Lytechinus pictus: one gene and its partner. The protein of the gene in region 2 interacts with the protein of the main gene of each other region in a pairwise test. Links are inferred from orthologs where the notes say so. Each region holds a gene or a part of one and is shown on either strand. Other genes may lie near its edges.

Region 1 (11,398 bases), on a different chromosome or scaffold from region 2:
ATAAAACTCACATGGACAAACATTAAACTTGTTATGCATCAATAAATCATTAAATAAAACTTGATAAATATTTCAATAAGAACAAAAGAAGATGCTGTGAAAACAAAAACATGTGAAACGGGCCAATGTCCAAGTGAATTGAATGAGCATAACAAAACAAAAAATTGATAAATAAATAAATGCAAAGCTGGTAAAGATGAACAATGATTTGCTGCAAATTAATTGCAATAAAGTGTTGAAAGAATTGAAGAAGTGAAATACCCTTGACAGTGTGAGCCCATTTAGGGAAGAGAAGAGATGCTCTGTTTCCTGTTTGGGGGAGGGAGGAAAGGATTGATAAAGCACCATTCACACACACACAAAGAGACACAAAAATCTAAAGGTCAGTGCCAGCCGCACAGAAACGCTGTACATGTTACTGAGCATTAACAGTAAGCCTGTCATATCTTAAAATCGTGAAGTCAGAACATTTATTACAATGTGTAAGTAATGCATTGTAAAATTAGGCATCGCTGCCACATTACCGGTTATAACAGGGCCTCTGTTAAAGCCAACAATGTTTCTGTGCGGTCAGTACAGGAAAATACATATTTGATTTAAAACTGTACAAATTCATCCATAAATTTGACAAATGGTATTCCTTGCAGTACAGTGTACAATGTAGCTGCTGAAATTACATGTACATTGTACAAAATACATTTTCCTATTAACCTATACTCACTGACCGCACAAAAACGTTGTTAGCGCTAACATTTCACTAACAGAGGCCCTGTTACAACCGGTAATGTGGCAGCGATGCTTAACGTTACAACAATGCATTACTTTGATACACATTGAAATAAATGTTTTGACTTCACAAATCCAAAGATGTGACTGGGCTTACTGTTAGCGCTCTGTAATAGGCTAACAACGTTTCTGTGTGGCCGGCAATGATTGTTATTCCCTCTGTGTACGTACATGTATGTACATTTCATGTCCTGAGTCATAACGTAATCACTGGTTCCAGTTAAATGGTGCACTGACCCTATTCTAGTTTCACAAGTCTAATGATCAAAAGCGGTGTGAATTTTTTATCACATGAAAAGCATGTATGGGGGGGGGGGCTTTGAAACGTACTGTACACATGTATTCTGAAAATAAAACATAATAAAATAATCTGAAATTTACAGTGAATTAGAATTCATCACAGACCAAATCAGTATGACACTCCCATTTTTAATTGCTAATAGAGAAAAATATAGAAAATTTGAGGGAAAAGCTGTTGTGTGAGTATCATTTCATTCTGGAGGGCCAATACAATAGGAGTTATTTCTCCAAAGTAGACCTCGAGCATCTTGATGCATAAAACATTTTGGCATTTGGGCTTGTTTTCAGACGGAAAGCTGAGAAAGTAACATTCATCCTGCAATGTGACTTCACGTCTTTGTTTTTTTAATGAAAAATATATATTTTGATGTGGTAGCAACTATGGACACACATGATTATGGATGTTGTTTTTTTCAGTATCCCCCCCCCCCCCTCAACAATTGGTCATTTTTTCACTGAGAACATTTCGTAGCCAGACCCCGGCAGTTGACAAACAAGCTTCTAAAAGCAACAATTACTAAGAAATTGAAATTAAAACAAATAATTTTCTACTTTTATTCAACTGCTGTGTATTCATGTGCATTCATTTCACATTATGCAGAACTTTCAATTTCATTTGGGGATAGAAATCAATGGATGTATGAGAACAAAAAATATAATAAGAGATATATTATTAAGTCATAAATCAGAAAAGGAATCAACTGAAAGGGGAGAAAAGCTACTTAAAGGTCAAGTCCACCCCAGAAAATTGTTAATTTGAATAAATAGAGATAAATCAAACAAGCATAATGCTAAAAATTTGATCAAAATCGGATGTAAAATAAGCAAGTTATGACATTTTAAAGTTTCGCTTACTTTTCACACGACAGTTATATGAACTCAGTGACAAACAAATGAAAAAGTCGATGATGTCCATCACTCACTATTTCTTTTGTTTTTTATTGTTTGAATCATACAATATTTCAATTTTTACCAATTTGACATCAAGGACCAACTTAACTGAACCATAAAATGTTATAACAATGGTAATGCCATATCTTCAGGGAGGAATAAAACGTAGTTTCACAGGACAATGAGGAGAAAATTTGAATATTTCAGATTTCATATTATAAAATACAAAAGAAATAGTGAGTGAGTGATGTCATCAGTCCCCTCATTTGCATACCTACCAGGATGTGCACATAACTGTTTTGTGAAATTAAGCGAAACTTTAAAATGTCATAACTTTCTAATATTTTACATCCGATTTTGATGAAATTTTCAGTGCTTATGTTTGTTAGATTTTTCTCTTTTTATAAAAATCAATTTTTTGTTGGGGTGCTGGACTTGTCCTTTAAGAAGAGATGATTATCTAATATGAAGAGACACCCATATAATGGATAAAAAGCTACTAAACGATTATGAATTTAAACTAAACTACGAATCGGGGACAAAAGCAGATTCAGAATGAGAATCAATGGAATACATACCTTTCGACCATCCCTTGATGTCTGCTGTACGAGTGTACACCCTCTCCTTGGCTTCCATGCATGTGTTGTAGATATGAGGGCTGATCCTGGCCGATCGTTCGAGGCTGACGGACATGTCAAAGGTCAAAGACTCCTTGCCTTTGTCTTCTTCCGGGTTGCGGATGGTTCCGGGATTTTTCTACAAAAAAGTAGCAGCAGTAGAGAGAGAGAGAGAGTCAAATTATACTTTTTTTTTTTTCTGTGCTTCTTTATGAGATCTTACAGCTAAAATTTGCTACATTTTATTATTTTTTTTTTTACATTTTACACTGGACCCTGTGAGAATTTCAGGGCTCTTATTTTAGATTTTCAGGGATTTGTGCCTTTTGTGGGGTACGATGCCCCCCCCCCCCCCCCTTTGATAAAATTTTTTGTAAGTGCAAAGTGTTTGTTGGGAGGTGGGGCTTGTCGAATTATGATGTAGAATGACCATCCTTCGGAATCGAAGACCTTTTTTCTGGACAAAAATGCCCCCCCCCCCCTTTCGAAAATCCTGGATCTTTATTGCCTTGCTACTAATGTGTTACATCAATTACAAGTTTCAAATTACTGAACTAAAGTTAAAATTCTGCGGTCTTCATTAATGGCGTACTTATGAGGGGGCGGCCACATTTGTCATTAAAGATGTTTGGAGATAACAACTACACATTTTCATGTGTACAATGGTCATTTTTTTAAATAATGAAAGTATAACAACAATTTTAATGAATTTTAGAAACATGTATACAGTATGTAAAAGTTTACATTTGACGATTTGAATCATTTTGATGTTTTATTTTAGGTCTAACTTTGGTGTTTTACCTGTCTCAGTTTAGACATGGCATCTGATGAGATGAATTCTGACTTGCTGAATTTGGTCACAAAGCACATGATGTGATACTGACTCTCTAGCCTCTCCTCCTCTCCTAAGACAATGGTTTTAAAGATGCGTACTTCCTAAGAGAGGAATACATGTAAGAGATGAAAAATAGAACAAAAACTGGTATTACAGAATTATCATCAAACTAATGTATCCGAGCTATTTCGGAGGAGTTTTATAAAAATTTTCTGATTTTTTTGTTGTCTTACCGGTATACCACAGCACAAGACGCAAATATATCAGAGGATATGCCTCTAAAAAGCCTCTTGTAGCTTGGCAAAGAACAAAGAGAACAAGATGGCGACGTAAACATCGGCAAGCTTTTTTCCGTCTTCTCAAAATGTTTTTCTCGGTTTTTTTATGAATTCTTGTTTAAAAATGAAATCAACATCATATAAATGTCGGAAATGAAATTATATCCCATTTACATTTTAGGGCTAGCCTAGGCCTACATGTAGATCGTTTAAGTTAGAAGGAAAGTAAAAATCTCGGGGACGAAAAATTTCAGTTTTTTTCACAGTACCGTACACGCACATGAATGGGACGCAATCCCTGGCTCAGTGGAGAGTAAGCACACGTTAGTTAATGATTTTTTACTCTCTAGAAGCCTCCTGGCTAAGCAACACTGAGTACTCTGGGTGATTTCAAGTACGGTGTTCGGTGTTGGTGTTGAGAGCATGAAAACTGAAAAGACTGCTGAACCGAGCTCGAACACCGAGCTGAGTTCAGAGGAGCGATACCGATCGTGTAGCGATAGCCTATGACATCACGCCTCTGCACTGCACTGCTGATCATCTCAACTTTATGTGAGAAATTCTCCACGACGAAAGTGAAATCGGGAAGAAATTGCAAGAAAATCTTATCGTACAGAATGCAAAGGTTAAAATCACTGCAAGGAATCAGAAAGCATAAATATTACTTTTCATTAAAATGTATAAAACTCTTAATGATTTGCGCTCATCTTAACTAAAACTAAAGTAAAAGATAATTTTACAAGGATGTTTCGTCGTGTTCGCCGCCTGTTCGTGAGCTACATCATACATGTACAGTATACAGTTCATCACATCAACATCAACACCAACTTGAAATCATGATTTTCCTAATTTAACACCAGCTGTAAAATTACACTGTAACGCTCGGTTCAGCAGACGACATTCAACACCAGCGCTCAACAAGAACTGCCGGAAATGCGTCATATTTTCCGAGGTCAATCCCAACACCAGCGTGATTTCAAGTACGGTGTTGTTGTGTTGTCACAATTTGTGACTTAACCAACACAATTTCAACACCGTAATTGAAATCACCCACTCACTGGAGTGTCAGTGATCAGTGACTGAGCGAGATCATTTTATTGAGCTCAAGGGAGGTTGATATTGATCCACCATTTAATTTAAAGGAGAATGAAACTCTTGGAGCAAGTTAGCTTTTGTGAAAGCAGAAAAATCAAAGAATAAGATCAACAAAACTTTGAGTAAAATAGGACTAGCAATAAAAGAGTTATGAGCATTTGAATGTCGAGATCACTAATGCTATGGAGATCCTCCCATTGGCAATGCGACCAAGATCTGTGATGTCACACACGTACAACTCTCCCATTCGGACACTGAAAATATACCCCAAAACATCTCTTTTTGCTCATTCTTATCATATGACAAACGATTCATCAATTAATGATATAATGTTGTGAAACCTCTGTACTTGTCATCTCATAAAGAAAACACCTAACCTTGTGATAGACTCTATAAAAGTGAGAATATAAGTGAAATAAGTACTAAAGTAATGACGGAGTTGTACGTGTGTGATATCACAGATCTTGGTCGCATTGCCGATGGGAGGATCTACATGGCACTAGTGATCTCAATATTCAAATGCTCATAACTTTCTTATTATTCATTCAATCTTCCTCAAACTTTCAACAATATGTTTCTTTGATTTTTCTCTTTGATATGGATTCAGCTAGTTTCAAGGGTTTCATTCTCCTTTAAATCATTTTTATTTATTCATCATCATCATCATCTGATACGGGAGTGAGATAATGCCTTCCTGTAAATCTCCCGGTCGTCAACGATCACGACTTCTAACAGTAGAGGCGCACGGCCAATATGGGAGACTCTCTCCAATAGGGGAGACAATCTCCCACATTGGAGACAATCTCCCACATTGGACTCTTTGGAGACTTGTCTTGCAAAAGGACAAAAGAAACAACACCAACAAAAGCATGATTTTTTTTCCACCCAAAATTTTGTCTCACTGGACTGAGGTCAGAAGCCCATTTGACTTGTTTTGTGTGTGATTGACAACTTAAATCCTTGACAAAACAAAAGTAGACGGTGAATTTTTAATTAAAGTAGACGGTGAAAAGGGGTAATTTTTCATGAGGAATATCTGCTTATCACATTTTTATTTTCCGCCAAGGTAATCCTTTTGCAGCAAATGTAAACAAAGAAAATTGGTCTCCAAAACTGGAGACTGTCTCTGAAATTGGATACCCAAATTCTTTACAAAAGTCTCTGATATTGGAGACAGTCTCCAGTCCAAGTCCAATTAAAATATTGGCCGTGCGCCTCTACTTACTCTAAGTTCTACTCTTTAATACGTGGTTTGTGAGACTGGATCAACTGTGTTACAGTGTATATACAACGGTTTAATGCCTATGATGACTCTAAACTTAAAATCTACCCAATCCATCCAGCAAGCATTTTTTTTTGCTTCACTTACCGATTTGAAATCAATGACCATTTTCACAAGTGTGCCATCAAGCTTTTGAAACTGCAAATAAATCACATCGCGTTTGACATCAGCGTTTATACTCTCTTGAACAAGGTCACCACCGTCGTTTTTCACGTTGATTACCAGTTGACACATAACTCTGTGATTCAACATACAAAATAAAGCAATTAGTCCCCAAAGGAACCCCATTAAATTGAAATAATATCGCAACATTTTAGAGTGTTCGTTTCTCCTTCCACAGCCCAAATACAGCCATAATTCACATTAGCAGAGCGCGCGCGCGCGCTATGGGAAAACAGTGTAAAGCCGTATCCTGGTATCAGCCTACCTTTATCGCGCCGGACTTCTAGGGGATCAGACGATTGTAGTTCCGTTAGCCACGAAACTTGGGGCCATTAACATTACGCACGGATGACAGGAATAATCCACTTTTGTAAAAGTTAAATGTGCTGAAATAATTCTTATACATATATCAAAATAACATCTCTCGATATCAGATTCGATTAGTAAAATAAAGGATTTTTATAATATATTTGATCTGAAGATACTGTTTAAAAAAACAATTACAATCGACTTTTAAATGTTTTTTTAAATAAAAAATAAAAAGATCCCACCCAAAATTAATGAACTTGTCCTTTCCACAGACCTCTTGCAACACGGATAGAAACAAGGTGCACAGTTCTCTATCGAGCTAAGGCCAAAATCGGCGACGTGTACCATTTTTCTTTGCCATCAAGTACTGATTTCCCAAGAAATCAAGCCACTAAATATCAAAGATGTCTTCTGAGGACAATACTTCTGAGCTTGCCTGCGTTTACAGCGCTCTTATCCTCCAAGATGATGAGGTCCCAATCACGGTAATACTTCCCCCATAGTGTGTGCCCATGTATAAAGTTTTGTGTAATGTCCGCGAAGCTAAAAGTTTAAAACCTTCAGCATGGCTTATATAAGTTAATTGCAGATTACACCCCATAAAGTTGAATGGGTAGACACTTTCTATTTGGCAAGTATGCCTTGTTCGAAAAGTGGTGGGTGGGGTGTATCCTTAATATACGTATTCTGCACTTGTCATGGACATGGCTAGGCTCCATGCGTGTTGCCAATCAATGGCAATGCCATGGCCATGCCCATGTTACTACAACTTATTATAAAATAGCTGTATTATTTCAAGCATCGCGATTGGTCAATACGCGTCACATGACATCCAACTTTTTTTGTGCACTGCACGGTAGTGCAAAAGGTGTGCAACGAAAATTGACATTGCACGCTCGAGCAAACCAGTGCGGTAAAGTCCAACAAAACTGTACTGTAAGTTTTTTAAAAATTGTTTCTGTGTTGCTATTTCATAAAACAAATAATGCACTTGCTCTGTCTTGCATAAAACTTAAAAGTAAATGCAGAGAAAGCTCGGTTTCTTCAGATGGAGCACACTGGGCACTCGCCGCAAGCGGCTCGTGCACAGTGCGACTCCTATCTAAAGAAACCTCGCGTGCTCTGCATTTCCACTAACGCACTCGGCTGCATGCATTATTTGTATACTATTTACATCGTTGGCTGTTAAACGTTATTCGTTAATGTTGCTGATGAAGAACGCATAAAAGATTATTCTTAATCTTAGTCTCAGATGGTCCAGTATGGCAGTAAAAACTGTAGGCCTACTAAAAAAGTAAAAGTTGGACTCAATGTCTCAATCCAATTTTGATATGTTTGAACTTTGTTGAATGAGTCTGTTTTCTGTGGTGTGCAGGTGTGAATATGGAATGCCTGAAAGTTTGTGTGATGATGTACAATAATTCAACAGTTGGGGTAGAGAAACTAGCCCGAATTTTAAATGTCAATTTGTCTAACTTATTTCACAGGCCATGCAGCACAGACCCAGTCCAAAAAAAAAGAAGAAAAAAAGAAAGATTAACAGAAAAGAAATAATGAGAAGGAAAAAAAAGGATGAAGGGAAAGAAGCTTTTTCATTTCATCCTCTCAATTCAAAGAAGGCTCCAAATTAAAGCAGTGGCAAAAAGAGTCAATTTTTTTACTGGTGTCCAACACCACAAGACAGAAGGAGAATCACCACAGGAGCCTCAGGAGGAAAGTCCAGATTTCAACTCCAAAACCAAAATCCCCTTTGAAAAGTTGGCAAATGTTGCCCTACAAATACAGAATCTGTGCCGCATTTCCAGGGCAAGCAGCAGCTTAGCTCAGTCAGATATAAGAAGCGGGGTCGCCAAGAAATGCACTGAAAATGATGAAATCTGTGGTTCCAAATTTTTAATGTTCCCACAAATTTAGAATATCTTGTATCTTCTAAATGATATAAGAAAAAAATATGAACCCCAGAAAAGCTCAACCGCATTGAATCTGCACCGAAATCAAATCTACGGCATGCTAGTGGGTTGCCTTCATAGTTCCACAGGGGTTCTGCATGTAATGTGGGCTGAATGGCCACTGCAACTTCTGGGGGTTGCATACCGTATCGCGTGCGGCTCTTGCACACACTGTCAAAGTGGGGTACTGGCGAATCACAGCCGCAAAACATGGAGATACATTGTCAGTAGAGGCGCACGGCCAATATTGGAGACTATACTATCTCCAATGTGGGAGATTATCTCCAATATCAGAGACTTTTGTAAAGAATTTTGGTATCCAATTTTAGAGACAGTCTCCAGTTTTGGAGTCCAATTTCCTTTGTTTACATTTGCTGCAAAACAATTACCTTGGCGGCAAATAAAAATGTGATAAGCAGATTTCTCATTAAAAATTACCCCTTTTCACTGTCTACTTTAAAAATTCACAGTCTACTTTTGTTTTGATAAGGATTTTTGTTGTCAATCACACACAGAACAAATGGGCTTCTGACCTCAGTGAGACAAAATTTTGGGTGGAAAAAATCATGTTTTTGTTGGTGTTTCTTTTGTCCTTTTGCAAAGCAAGTCTCCAATGTGGGAGATTGTCTCCCCTATTGGAGAGAGTCTCCCATATTGGCCTTGTGCCTCTACTGATTGTATCAGGGAATTCTCTGTTTCCATTGTTAGATTTGTATGAAATATTGAGGTGGAAGTTGAAAATAAAATTGCTTTGAAAGTAGACAAATATATTCAACAAACATTGATACAAAATTTCATTTTGTGAAAAGACATGTAAGATAAAAAAAAAATGTTGCAGAAAATCTAAACATGCCAGTCGAAATTTGGGCAACAAATGAGTCTAAGAAACCGGCTCATGGGGGGGGGGGGGGGGGCATCATATGGCATGATAACAGTTGTAGATCAAAGGAGAGTTGAGTATAAAATTAAAAGAGGGAGGAAAGTGGAGAATCTGCAGTGTGAGCTAATTTCCAAGGCAGAAAGGATAAGAAAGAACTTTTAGGGGGATAAAAACAAGATGCTATGAGAGAAAGTAGAATTTATAGTGTTAATCGATCCAAGGTGAAATCTTGGTGGTTTTTGGCCAAAGATGGTTCCAAATGGTTTCAGAGTGATAATTGTTTACCTTGGATAGATCTACAAATTATACACGAATCATTTGTACACTACAATAAAACACTGTAAAGTGAGTGGATGAACTATGCTGAAAGTCAAAATGTCCTAACTTTGCTTTCATAAAATCTAATGAATTATACATGCATATCATATGAAAGAGAATAGTGTAGCCTTCGTTTTCCACCTCAGTAACAGTTATACATGAATGATAGTGATAGTCATTGACATTTAGTGAGATAGTGCATATTTTCATACCTTTCTGTGATCATTGAAGCGTAACTAACAATGCTTCAATAATCACAACTTATTATTTATTTTTTCTGAGAGTCGAGAGGATATGCTTTAATTTCATATAAAGTTTGGATCCTTTGCTATTTTTACAGGAAATGAAATATGAAAATGAATCTAATAACATCTTGGTACAAAAGTCAATGAGGTGACACCAGTCAGATATTCATTCGTTTTTAAATCGTTTGCGAAATGCGTGATGATTGAAATATTAGGAACTGTATATCAACTGAAATGTTGCTCGCTACATGTATGTTTGAAAAATTTGCAAATGATTTTCGACCAATGCACAGACCCCCCCCCCCCCATCTTGTGCCTTCCCTCTCTTGTCTCTATCTTCCTCTTTCTCACTCCCTCCCCCCCCCCCCCCCCCCGCCCCAAAGCCTTTTCTTTCAACTTCAAGCTGTCCTAAAGTCAGATACATTAACTGGCATCCTTGGATTGACCGACTCTGATCCATTTTTAAATGTTGATCTTCATTTGTTTGTATTGTTATTGAATTCTCTGTCCATAGGCCGACAAACTTCAAACCTTGATCAAGGCTGCTGGAGTTAATGTGGAACCGTACTGGTGCAGCCTCTTTGCCAAGGCTCTGTCAAGCGTTGACTTGTCTACCCTCATCGCCAACGTAGGAGCCGGTGGTGGCGGTGGTGGAGCTGCTGCTGCCCCAGCTGGAGATGCTGGTGGCGAGGCTCCCGCCGAAGGTAAGTCCGGGTACTCTTTCTCAAATTTGTAAACAGATTGTGGAAAGCTACTCAAAATTGTCCCATAGGATTGGTTGATGGCCGGGATGGTCGTATGGAAATTGTTGGTGAAGAGGAAACTGATGCCCTCTCTTCAGATGTTTGCGATGCAATTGCTGAAGGTGAACTAGGTATCTCTGTCGTAAACTTGATTGCAATAATCACAATACTCGTGCATGCCATGTCATCGGTTGATACTGATGGTAAATTTCTTCAAGAAATTTTGGTTGAACGTGGAGCTGCTAAAGCCACTTCTGAATGTGAAATAGGGTCGTCTTTCATAACACGAAGTTTCAAATGACCCTTGCAAGTCTCAGCGCTGTAACTCACTTTTATAAGATTAGGAGTGTTTCATAGTGTTTCATCTGACAAAAGACGGCTTCCAAAGTCTGTGGTTTTAATTGGCAAAGAAGCTCAAGTGTCAAACGATCCAAGTATGGATAATCTTTATTCATGTTGAATGAGCAGTGTTTATATTTACATAGGGGCAATTCCATAAAATGATCAACCTTTTTGTACATCCAACCCCCATTTTCTCAAGTCTTCACTTCGTTAACTGACCAAGCCATGGTCATTTGAGAGCATTACAGACTATCAAAAGAACCAGAAATCAGGGACAGAAAATTTTATGAAGGTCCCACATATAGGGGGTCGGACATATTTTATGGAATTGCCCATAGGTTATCATAAAATTCTCTGTATCCATTC
Region 2 (10,815 bases):
GCTGGGAAGTTTGCATGATATGCCAAACATAAAACCGAACCTCCATGACTACATAAACCTATTATTTATCTGTACATTATTCTAAACCAAAAACTATTACAATCCGAACTCGAACCCTGTGCCCTCTGATAAATTACGATTGGAGCAAATGTCGCAGGAGCACAGACAAGGGCATCCGAGTCCATTCCATTGGAAGGGAAAAAGAGAACTTGTTTAAAATCTGTTGGTAATCGTGTATAAAGACCACACTAACATTCCTCTGAAATAGCAAACTATGTACTACAATGACAAAGAAATTCTACAATGAACTTGGCTGCTCCATTTCAGAAAGGCTCTTGTCAACAAAGGAAACTGGCTCAGACACATTATCAGGGGCTGGTTTTTGGTCAACGTGGGATGCTGGCCTTCAGTGGGTTCAGCCATTTCTGGCTCTGATGGCACTTTATGCATCGCACTGGCAACATGCCCTCAGATCATCATTACCAGTTACCTCAAGTAAATACTCGACTCTTTGATGGAGATTGCCTACTTTGGACCCCCCCCCCATCTCTTCAAATTTATGCCTTGATCCTATTAATATCCTTTTCTCCTTCTCGATAATCAACATGAAGAGACCAGATTCTTACCAAGATTTCAATGGTTCCCCTGGCGATCTTGGTGGCGATGGAGAGAGCCTGGAAGAAGGAGGTCTTCTCGGGTCCCAAACCAGTGTTGTGGCCATCAATGAACACATCGATGGGTGCAAGAGCACCGGCCTTGGCTGGGGCAGCAACCTGTTCAAGACAACATTGTGGACAAGTGTAAACATACATTTATAGGAAGCTATTTGTAAAAAAAAGAAAAATCACAATAGCCATTTAAATGTTTAGCTTACCAGTACAATGTTCCTCCTGACAATGCAGCTGCAACTGTTCTTATAAGATTAATGCAAAGGGGGCAGGAGGCGATTTGTTTTTATATAGTGACAGGAGAGAAAAAAATCTTGCTTGATAACAATGTGCTTTCATTAGATTTGGGTGATGTAACACAAAATAGGCAAGCTCAAAATTCATGGCCATACTTCCCATTTGGCAGGTTTTTACATTTTGGATTCACTTTGAATTCAATCCATACTCAATATCATATTTGCAGCTCATCTAAGTTAAATCAAATCTGATAGATCAAAGTATACTATTCATATATATATAGCTCAAACAACATCTTTTCTAGCAACAACCATGGAGCATTTTAAAGATGGGCTGTGCTTTGAAACTTTGTGCTTATTAAAGGTGTTATAACATTATTTAATAATCACACGTAGCAATATACCAACTGATTGGCATCAATGAAAAGCAAATTTTCATAAAATTATCCCAAATGTCAACAAATTTGAAATATAGGCCTTGGCCTAGGAAGGTCTACTATAGAGGTAAGTGGCATCATTCTTTTATGATTCAGACGTGTTAATAAGGGCTTGTTTTTTTGGTCAACGTGGGATGCGGGCCTTCAGTGGGTTCAGCCATTTCTGGCTCTGATGGCACTTTATGCATCGCACTGGCAACGTGCCCTTATGTCATCATGATCATAAAACATGGCACCAACCCCAATAATAACCAAAACACACTCCCCAAAAGCCAAATATTACCAATTCATCAAGTTGACCCTAAAATAATTACTCAAGCACATCCCCCATCCCCTCCCTGAACATATTTTTGTAGGGTGTGTTTACCTTGTTGGCAAGGATCAACTCTCGAACTTCCAACAAATCTCCCTTGGTGAACACAAAACCAACATTGCCCTTCATGTGAGGAAGGAGTCTGCAGAAAAAAAAAAGAAGCACGGGGAGAAAGATGCTTAAAACATATTGACTAACAAAAGACATATATGGATAACCATTAACTGTACCAAGGGAAGGAAAGCTTGGTAGCCACTTCATTTTATATAACCAGCTCTTCCAACACTCCCTGCACAACACATTGTGTTAATCCCCTTTCTGGTAAGCATTTGTTTGAAGTGTCTACTACAAAGACAGTATCTTTCCTCCCACTTGCCAAAAACCACCACAACTTAAAACCTGTTAAAAAGCATTGATGTAACCTCATTAACTGGCCTAGTAAACCCTATAGAACATGGGATTTCCTGGTCAATCTTCTTCATTAACTTTTTCATTTTCATCCCTCATTATAACATGATTTCAATTGTAATCTCAGCAAACCCAGTAAGAAAATGTCTAATGAATATTAACTTTTTTTCAGGTTTTCTAATCAGTCACTGTAAAACTAATCTTAAAAAAGGTTTTTACAATAGTAAAAAATTATCAAGTTTTCCTGCATTTTTTTCTTTTAAGTTGCTTGTTTTTCTTTTGCTGTTTTTTTTAAGGAACTAAACCTGTATGAACCTACTTCTCTAGGCCAGGATCTTTCTCCAAGTGTCCTCTGATGGCCTTGCGGATCATGGTGTTCTTGCCCATGAGGACAACACCATGTCCTCGTAGAGAGGAACGGATAGCCTGCATCTGCTTGGAGCCGACATTGTCAACACCGACGATGAAGCACTTGGGAAACTCATTTAAGTTTTCCTGAAAAGGAGAAAGAGCATGAAATGTATTTTTCACCAGAATTTTTATTGTGTCTGACATTTTGCAACTTCAAAAAAATGAAGGGCTCATTTCAAAATAATAATTTGTTAGAATCTTCTCAAATACATGTACAAAAGGGTAGATCCAAGCAATTAATGGAGGGTTCAAAATCAATTTTACCCTACAATGACCTCCCCCACAAATAAATACAATATGTAAACCACAAATATCAAATTCAAATTGGTCCATAGAAATTCAAACTTATAAATTGAACTTTATTCCCAACAGATCATATAAACATTTCTCTAAATTTCTCATTTTATATTTCGAACAGCTAATCAAATGACAATTCAAGCATTTCATCCACTTTGCCTTTTATGCTGTTAAGTTACACATATTTCCAAGAGATTGGTTGGCACAATACACTTACTTCATGCCATTGCAAATCTCTCTTCTATTCTGAATGATTACAACAAAATTCAATTAAGTACAATTTTCAGGGATCTCACTGGGCCAGTTCGCCTGATCAATCCCTATTCTTTTCTGAACCTGGGATTTCTTTCATTTTCCATTGTCATTCACAGCATGTGCTTTCTAGGAAAACACTGGCCCAAAGTGGAAAGAAAAGTAGGCCTCCAATGCTAATGTCGAACATTGGTGGCCATGTATTGTGAAATGCTTGAATTATCAAATGTGGATAGTATTTTCAAGTGCTGTAATATTGGGATAGCACTAGGCTCACGCTTACAATGAGTTTGACGAAGTAGTTGGACTTCCATGTGGTCTTGTCTTCCCTGACCATCTTGTGTGACTCAAGGATCGCCGAAGCTGATTTAAAGACAAGACAAACTGGAACCAACCAGTGGAAAATAGGGGAGAAAAATAAAAATGAGATATAGATAAATTAGTAACTTTTTAATTTTTTTTTACAAATAAAATCACAATAAAAGAACCTAAAAATGTTGGCCATTTAAAAAAAAATTAAACAAATTAGAAACTACTGAAGACAGTTATTCACATGAAAGGATTTCAGACTAGACTACGTACTGCAGCTGATCTTCTTTAATTAACGTTAATATTTTAACTTTTGAATCTAAATTCCCCTTCTCTCTGATGCACATACAAAAAAAAATTGCAATTACAAATAGGTCTAGATCTAAATAAATGTCATTCATGAATCTCCCAAGGCATGGGCATGGCCAAGGCAATAAGGTTCATCGCTCATCAGAACCGCAATGCATCATAGCCTGGATCGAAAAGGGGCCGTTAGCTAGCTAGCTATATCTGTGCACTGACTGTCCGCAGTGCGCTAACGGCCCCCTTTTCGATCCCATAACGCATTGCGGTTCTGATAAGCGATAAACCTTAAAACACGGCATGCATTGCATCGACTGTCAAATTCACAAATTTCTCAATCACTCACTATTCTCACTCTCAGACTCGGCTCAGCCCAGGCCCCAGTCAGCCTAATCTGTAAATTACAGTGTAATCATGCCAACAATCATTCATCATCACATTCAGACATAAATTGCAATTTAACTTTGCATTCAACAGCAAGGGCCAATGCTATTATTTGTGTCTATTCCCATTTCCCAAAGAACCCACATGTTGCACTTGCAGTTGCACAATAACTTAGCAACTATTCGTGAACCACACTGCACTGTCCACAGCCAGACAGCTCTCATCAGCATGATACACGCACACACGTCCACACGCAGCGAACGCTACCTACACGATTGTTCATTTCACAAATTCTTTCGACTTTTTTCAAAATGACTCGTTATCATTTTATTACACATCATCTCCCCCTTCAGATATTTAAATCGGAAATTTCAATCTTCATACATCACAATTATCGCTCATTTCACACAATTTGCATTCAGAAAATAGTAATTTAAGTCAATTTCTAGAGGGTTATCATTTCCACATTCTTACAATTTCAGATGAAGATAACGAAAGAGACAGATTTGGCTGGTAACTAGTACACGTGCTTTGCTCGTGTACGCGACCATACTCCACCGAGTCACAGATGGAGCAGCGAAAATCAGTATGGGCGTTGAATGTAAAGAGACGTTACTCCATTGAGCAAAGCACACCTCAACGGTGGTACATGAGGGTAGAGAATGGGTAAAGTACGAATGGGTAAAGTACTCGAGGCGCAAGCACGATGAAACAGTGTCAGTGGCAATGGCGGATCCAGGTGCATGGGGGAGGGGGGGGGGGGGGGGGGGGCGAGAGGGAAGTGCGCCCTTCTACGATTTGAAAATTGCCCAATGCTAATATAGCTAAATCTGAAAAAATTGTTATCTTTATCTTTTATCCTTACAAAAATAGTGCGCACCCCATCTCTTTTCAAATTTGCTATTAATTGTGCCCCCAACATGCATGTCTCTAAAAATTCTGAATCTGTCACTTACGTTATCATCACTAGCTGGCGGATCATCCCTTTGAGAGGCATAATAAAAAAAATGTAAATATGTCGTTCTAACACTGCCCCCCCCCCCCATTGAAAATGAGGACCTTTTAATTTTTCTTGTCAATTAAATTTCCCTTGGAAAAATGTGCCCCCCTTTCGAAATATCCTGGATCCGCCCCTAATATCATATTTTCTTTTTGTGATCACACATCCACACCCTCACACAATACACATATCAATACATAAATAAATGTAATTATCTCGATCTCTTATAGTTTCACGTATCAATTTAATTGGCTTCATTCAGTGATAACAACAGGCGCATTTATATATATCCAGGATTTTGCACCCGGGGGCCCGACCTAATGTTTGCGCCCCTGTGAACTTTTCAGAAAATGCCGGGGGGGGGGGGGCGGGGGGGCCCCGCCAGGCAAACATAGGTGCCTTAAATGCATGTTGAATTATCTCATTGCATAGCCACGTGAAAAAAGGGCAATCGCGAAGATCACTTTTGTTCATGAAAAAATATCCATGAATATGTTGTAATATAAATATACCACTTTTTGAAAAGAATAGAGGCGAACTACAGAAAACCGTAATTAAAGCACTGTGGGGATTTACTTTACTTTAACTTCTCATCAGAGTAGGCTCTGTAGTAAAATTATGTGAGCGCGATGAGCTGACATTTCTTTACCATCAGGGAAGGGTCCAGCTTTCGCTATAATAGCTATAGGGGCCCGGGGCGGAAAAATATTTTCATCTCGGCGATCAGATATTCTAAGCACTTTTTGTAAAATTTGTTTCGCCGATATTTGCTCCGCTGACAATATTGCTCCACCTACATCCAAATGGGACCATGAGCAGGTCTCAATATGCAATTAATGCAAGCGCGAAGCACGAGCTGAATTCAATTGTTTTCACACACTGACCCGAAAATGATTATGCAAAAGGATCGTGTGCAGAAATTCGAGGAGGATAGGTGACCTCACTAATTAAATAACACGAGCGCAAAGCGCGAGCTTATTTTACATTACATGTATGCAGTCCTGAATGGGACCTTTTAAACATATTCTTTCAAGTGAAGCTCGTGCTAAAATGATTGGAGATGACATTTTAAGCACTAATCTGATCAAGTCATGATCTCACTCGGAGACAATATTATGAAAACAAGAAATCAACGCCCAACCCTTATGAGTAAATGGGACACCCCAATACTTAAATCTATATCATGAATATAGCGCCCCAACCTTAATTACTTATCGATTTGGCGCCACTATAAGGTTCCGGGATAAGGTTATGATCAAACACGCTCCACAACCTCTTATTTTTGCGTCCCTATATAACTTTAAAACTATTTTTGAAGCCCCCTTGCTTTCCGGGCGATTTGGCGTCCCTCAAGTTTAAGATCAATATGGCGCCCCTAATTTTAGGAAAAAACGAACTTAGGAAGATGTTGGATGCATTTTATGAAAGCTGGGAGATCGGATTTCAGTCGACGGTAAAAAAAGCAACACTTGCAGGCGCGTATCCAAGGGTGCGGATACACCCCGTAACCCCCCCCTCCCGAACGGTTTCCTTCATTTTTTCCCCTGTCTTTTGGCTCGTCTGAATTTGGGGAAATACTGTAAGCAGTGGCTTACCTGGCATATTTCGTCAGGGGGGGCAAGCGACAAGGATGAGCAAGGTGGGGGGGGGGGGGGGGGTAGTAGACATGGACGTATAGGCACAATTTTTTTCAAGGGGGGCTTATAATCATTGCCCAAATATGAACTTCACAGTTTTTGATTTTCGAGCGAGCGAAACAAATTTCATTTATTATTTAGCCTTATAAAAATAATAATTGCGAGCGCGAAGCGCGAGCTGAATTTTTCTAAAAATTTAGACCTAAAACGATACATTTTGTGCACTTAATTATGAATATGAAGGGTATATTCCTTTATAAATTGTGCGAGCTAAAAATTTTGATATTCCTAACTGGACACTAGACATTCTAAGCAGTTTTACAGGATGGGTATCTAAACAGTTGTGCGGGCGCGAAGCGCGAGCTAAAACTTGTTATTCCGACTTAAGAACTGGATATTCTAAGCACTTTTAGTAACCATGAACAAATTGGTTTCTAACTGAATAATTAATTTATGCGAGCGCGAAGAGCGAGCTGAAAATCTGAGATATTCCCTCCTGAAAACTGGATTATTCTAAGCACCTTTTTTTTTTAAACTATGAACGAGATGATAGTTAAAAACAATTAATTGGTGTGAGCGCGAAGCGCGAACTGAAATTTTTTGATATTTCGACCTGAAACTTTACATTCTTAGCACTTCATTTCATTATGAACAGGATGGAATATTATGCGAGTGCGAAGCTCGAGCTGAAAATTTTGATATTCCGACCTAAGAACTTGATATTCTAAGCAATTTTTGTAACCGTGAACAAATTGGTTTCTAATGATATATTTTTGATATTTTCATTTTTTATATTCCGACCTGAAAACCGGACATTCTAAGCACTTCATTTAATTATGAACAGGATGGATATACCTAAACAGTTATATATGTGAGCGCGAAGCACGAGCAAAATTTTTTGATATTCCGGTTTAAGAACTGGATATTATAAGCACTTTTTGTAACCGTGAACAAAATGGTTTCTAACTAATCAATTGACGCGAGCGCGAAGTGCGAGCTGAAAATTTTTGATATTTCAACCTGAAAACTAGACATTTATCTTATGTATCTAACCTAAAAATTGATGCGAGCGTGTATTGTTATAATTATATTACCTAAAAGTTGTTCTCTACCTTTTCCTGTCCCTGGTCAGCCCAATCCGTCCTCACTATCGGTACAGAGCGCTCTAAAAGTCGCATTTCGTAAAAAATCACAATTTACCGATAAAAGTGTACAGTTTAATTTATATTTAGCGACAAAGATGGTGGAACTAAAAAACCGATTCAGTTGGAACAGCCCCGTGTTCCCGACAGTTCATAATTTTTTCCGACAGTCTGCAGTCCAGTTTTTGTTTTCCCCTTTCTCTTAAACTTTTTTTTTCTTTTTACCCTTCCCCCTTTTTCTCTTTCTTTTTTCCCCTTTTTTCGCTTCCTTTTTTTTTTGCTTGTGACTCGTCAGGGGGGGGGGGGGGCAGTCTGCCCCCTGCCTTCCTTAGGTACGCTAGTGACTGTAAGCCTATACGTGGCCCTTCAGAGGCGAAAAAAGAAAAGTGAATGAAAAAAGAAAGAAATATTTCGCCATCTGAAATAAATAACAAATAAAGAAAATCGACTTTAGGGCGAAAATGCGCAGATTAAAGAACGTGTTACATCACAAAGTGCAAAGTTCATTTTGAAAAAAAAAAAGAGAATATTTTCCTATTGGAGACATTGTGGAGGGAAGTGTCCCCTGCCCCCTGGTTCTACTGTCCCTGCAAAAGGAGAGGGTGTTAATTCCAATTACATTTTAACAGACTGAACATTTTGGATCTTAATAAACAGGTTATTTATTTGAGGTATTTGAAGCTTTAGATATCGAGGATGTATATACCATAATAATGTGTTATTAATTTTGTGCAATTGTGTTTCATTCAATCGGTGGCACAAAAATCGAGGTGAGGATGAATAATTCTTTTGTATATAATAGCGGTCTTATAACTTCTTTATATAAAGCGGGACACTTTCAATGTGTGGGGAAAAAAAATCGATGAATGGGTACAGTAAAAGTATCAAAACGTTTAAAACGTAACATCATGTTGAATTGAGACATTATACAGATGAGCAGCATATTCAGCGATTAAGGAGGACATATGAATTTTATGTTAAGAGTTGTATTACTAAGTAAACCCGCCATTTTTAATCGCCATAAGTTGAGACTTTTCATACTTTCATAAATAGCTAATTTCGATATGAACTTTATGAAACTTGCTTCTATAAATGCCAGTGGAGGCCACGGCCCTGGGAAGCGGCAAACCCAGGAATTTCCTTGGGCATGCGTGTATTGTGGGGGGCCTTTCGGGGCCCGCCCCCGCCCCCCTGTGTAGGAGAAAAGGGGGGCGCCAAAAAGAAGAAGAAAAGAGGGGAAAGAAAAGGGGAGGAAAAGGAGAAGAGAAAGAGAAAAAAAAGGGGAAAGAAAGAGAGAAGAAGAAAAAGAAGGGGGGGGGGGTGCCGAATAGAAGTTCGACATAGCCACATAGGGGCGCCGAATTAGAGTTTGATATAGGGGTCGGCGAATTTATGTTCGGTCTAGGATGGCGCCAAAGTGAGGATCGACATAGGGAGGGGGAGCGAAATGAAGTACGACATATAGGGGCGCCGAATTACAGTTTGATATAGGGGGCGCCGAATTAGAGTTTGATATAGGGGGCACCAAATTGATGTTCTACCAAGGGGCGCCGAATTTATGTTCAAACTAGGGGCATCAAATTATTGATGTTCGACCTAGGGGCGCTGAATTTATGTTCTACCTAGGGGCACCGAATTCATGTTCGACATAGGTTGAATTAGAGTTTGATATAGGGGGCGCCAAATTTATGTTCTACCTAGGAGCGCCGAATTGGTGTTCGACATATTATAGGGAGCGCCGAATTGATGTTTGAAATAGGGGGCGCCCAATTGAAGTTCGACATTGGGGCGCCGAATTACTCTTCAACCTAGGAAGGGGGGGGGGCGCCGAATTGATGTTCTGCCTTAGGTGCCCAAGTTTTTTCAACCTATAGGGAGGGGGCCCCAAATTCATATATGACCTTTGGGGCGCCAATTCGATATTTTTCCTGGGGCACCAAATTCATTTTCAACCTAGGGATGGGGCGCCAAATTTATATTCGACCTTTGGGGCGCCAATTCGATGTTCGACCGGGGGGCGCCAAATTCATGTTTTACATGACTTTGGCGCCCGCGCTTGCACTCAAATGCATAGTTAGATGCCCATCCTGTTCTTGATTACCAATAGTGATTATAGACTTTCCATATTTATGGTCAGAATATCAACAATTTTTAGCCCGCGCTTCGCGCTCGCATATAATTTGTTAGATAACCATCCTGTTCATGATTACCAATAGTGCTTAGAAAGCAAACAATTTTAGGTCAGAATATACAAAAAAATCATCTCGCCCTTTGTGCTCGCATCAATTGATAGGTGACGATCCTGTTCATGGTTAGAAAAGTGCTTAGAATGTCCAACTTTGGGTCGAAATATCAAAAATTTCAGCTCGCGCTTCATACAATGTTTTGCTATATACTCATCCTGTTCATGATTACCAAAATATGCTTAGAATGTCCAAATTCTAGGTCAGAATATCAAAATTTTCAGCTTGCGCTACGCGCTCGCATCAATTATTTAGATCATATCCATCCTGTTCTTGAATACCAAAAGTGTTTTTAGACTTTTCAAATTTTAGGTCGGAATATAAAAGATTTCCATCTCGCCCTTTACGCTTGCATCAATTGATAGGTGACGATCATGTTCATGGTTACGAAAAGTGCTTAGGAAAGTCTAGTTTTGGGTCGGAAATTCTAAAATTTTAAGCTCGCGCTTCGTTTTGTTAGGTACTCATTCTGTTCATGACTACCAACATTATGCTTAGAATGTCCAAATTCTCGGTCAGAATATAAAAAAATTTCAGCTCGCACTTTGCGCGCGAATAAAAATAATGTTGAGATAGATACCCATCCTGTTCTTGAATACCAAAAATGCTTTTATTTTAGACTTTCAAAATTTTAGGTCGGAATATCAAAAATTTTAAGGCACCTTTATTTGCCTGTCGGGGGGGGGGGGGGGGCGCCATTTTCCGAAAAGTTCACAGGGGCGCCAAAATTACGTCGCCCCGCGGGTGCAAAATTCTGGATTCGCGCCTGTTGGGG

The links. The genes of interacting proteins can lie anywhere in the genome.
Region 1: the proteins of large ribosomal subunit protein uL10-like (region 2) and large ribosomal subunit protein P1-like interact in binary tests that used the Drosophila melanogaster proteins (3 or more experiments, as listed by UniProt). The link is inferred for Lytechinus pictus from reciprocal best matches to the Drosophila melanogaster genes RpLP0 and RpLP1.

What each region holds. Positions count from the first base shown.
Region 1 is NC_087252.1:20,855,887-20,867,284, forward strand, and holds the start of large ribosomal subunit protein P1-like, read left to right. Parts: upstream 1-6,817; 5' UTR 6,818-6,959; coding exon 6,960-7,040; intron 7,041-10,461; coding exon 10,462-10,651; intron 10,652-11,398. Other genes in the region: out at first protein-like, read right to left, coding at 262-309, 2,556-2,733, 3,396-3,530, 6,172-6,396. UniProt on the Drosophila melanogaster protein: Plays an important role in the elongation step of protein synthesis.
Region 2 is NC_087245.1:24,992,412-25,003,226, reverse strand, and holds the start of large ribosomal subunit protein uL10-like, read right to left. Parts: upstream 4,700-10,815; 5' UTR 4,493-4,699; intron 3,407-4,492; 5' UTR 3,360-3,406; coding exon 3,306-3,359; intron 2,558-3,305; coding exon 2,382-2,557; intron 1,797-2,381; coding exon 1,709-1,796; intron 774-1,708; coding exon 627-773; intron 1-626. UniProt on the Drosophila melanogaster protein: Ribosomal protein P0 is the functional equivalent of E.coli protein L10.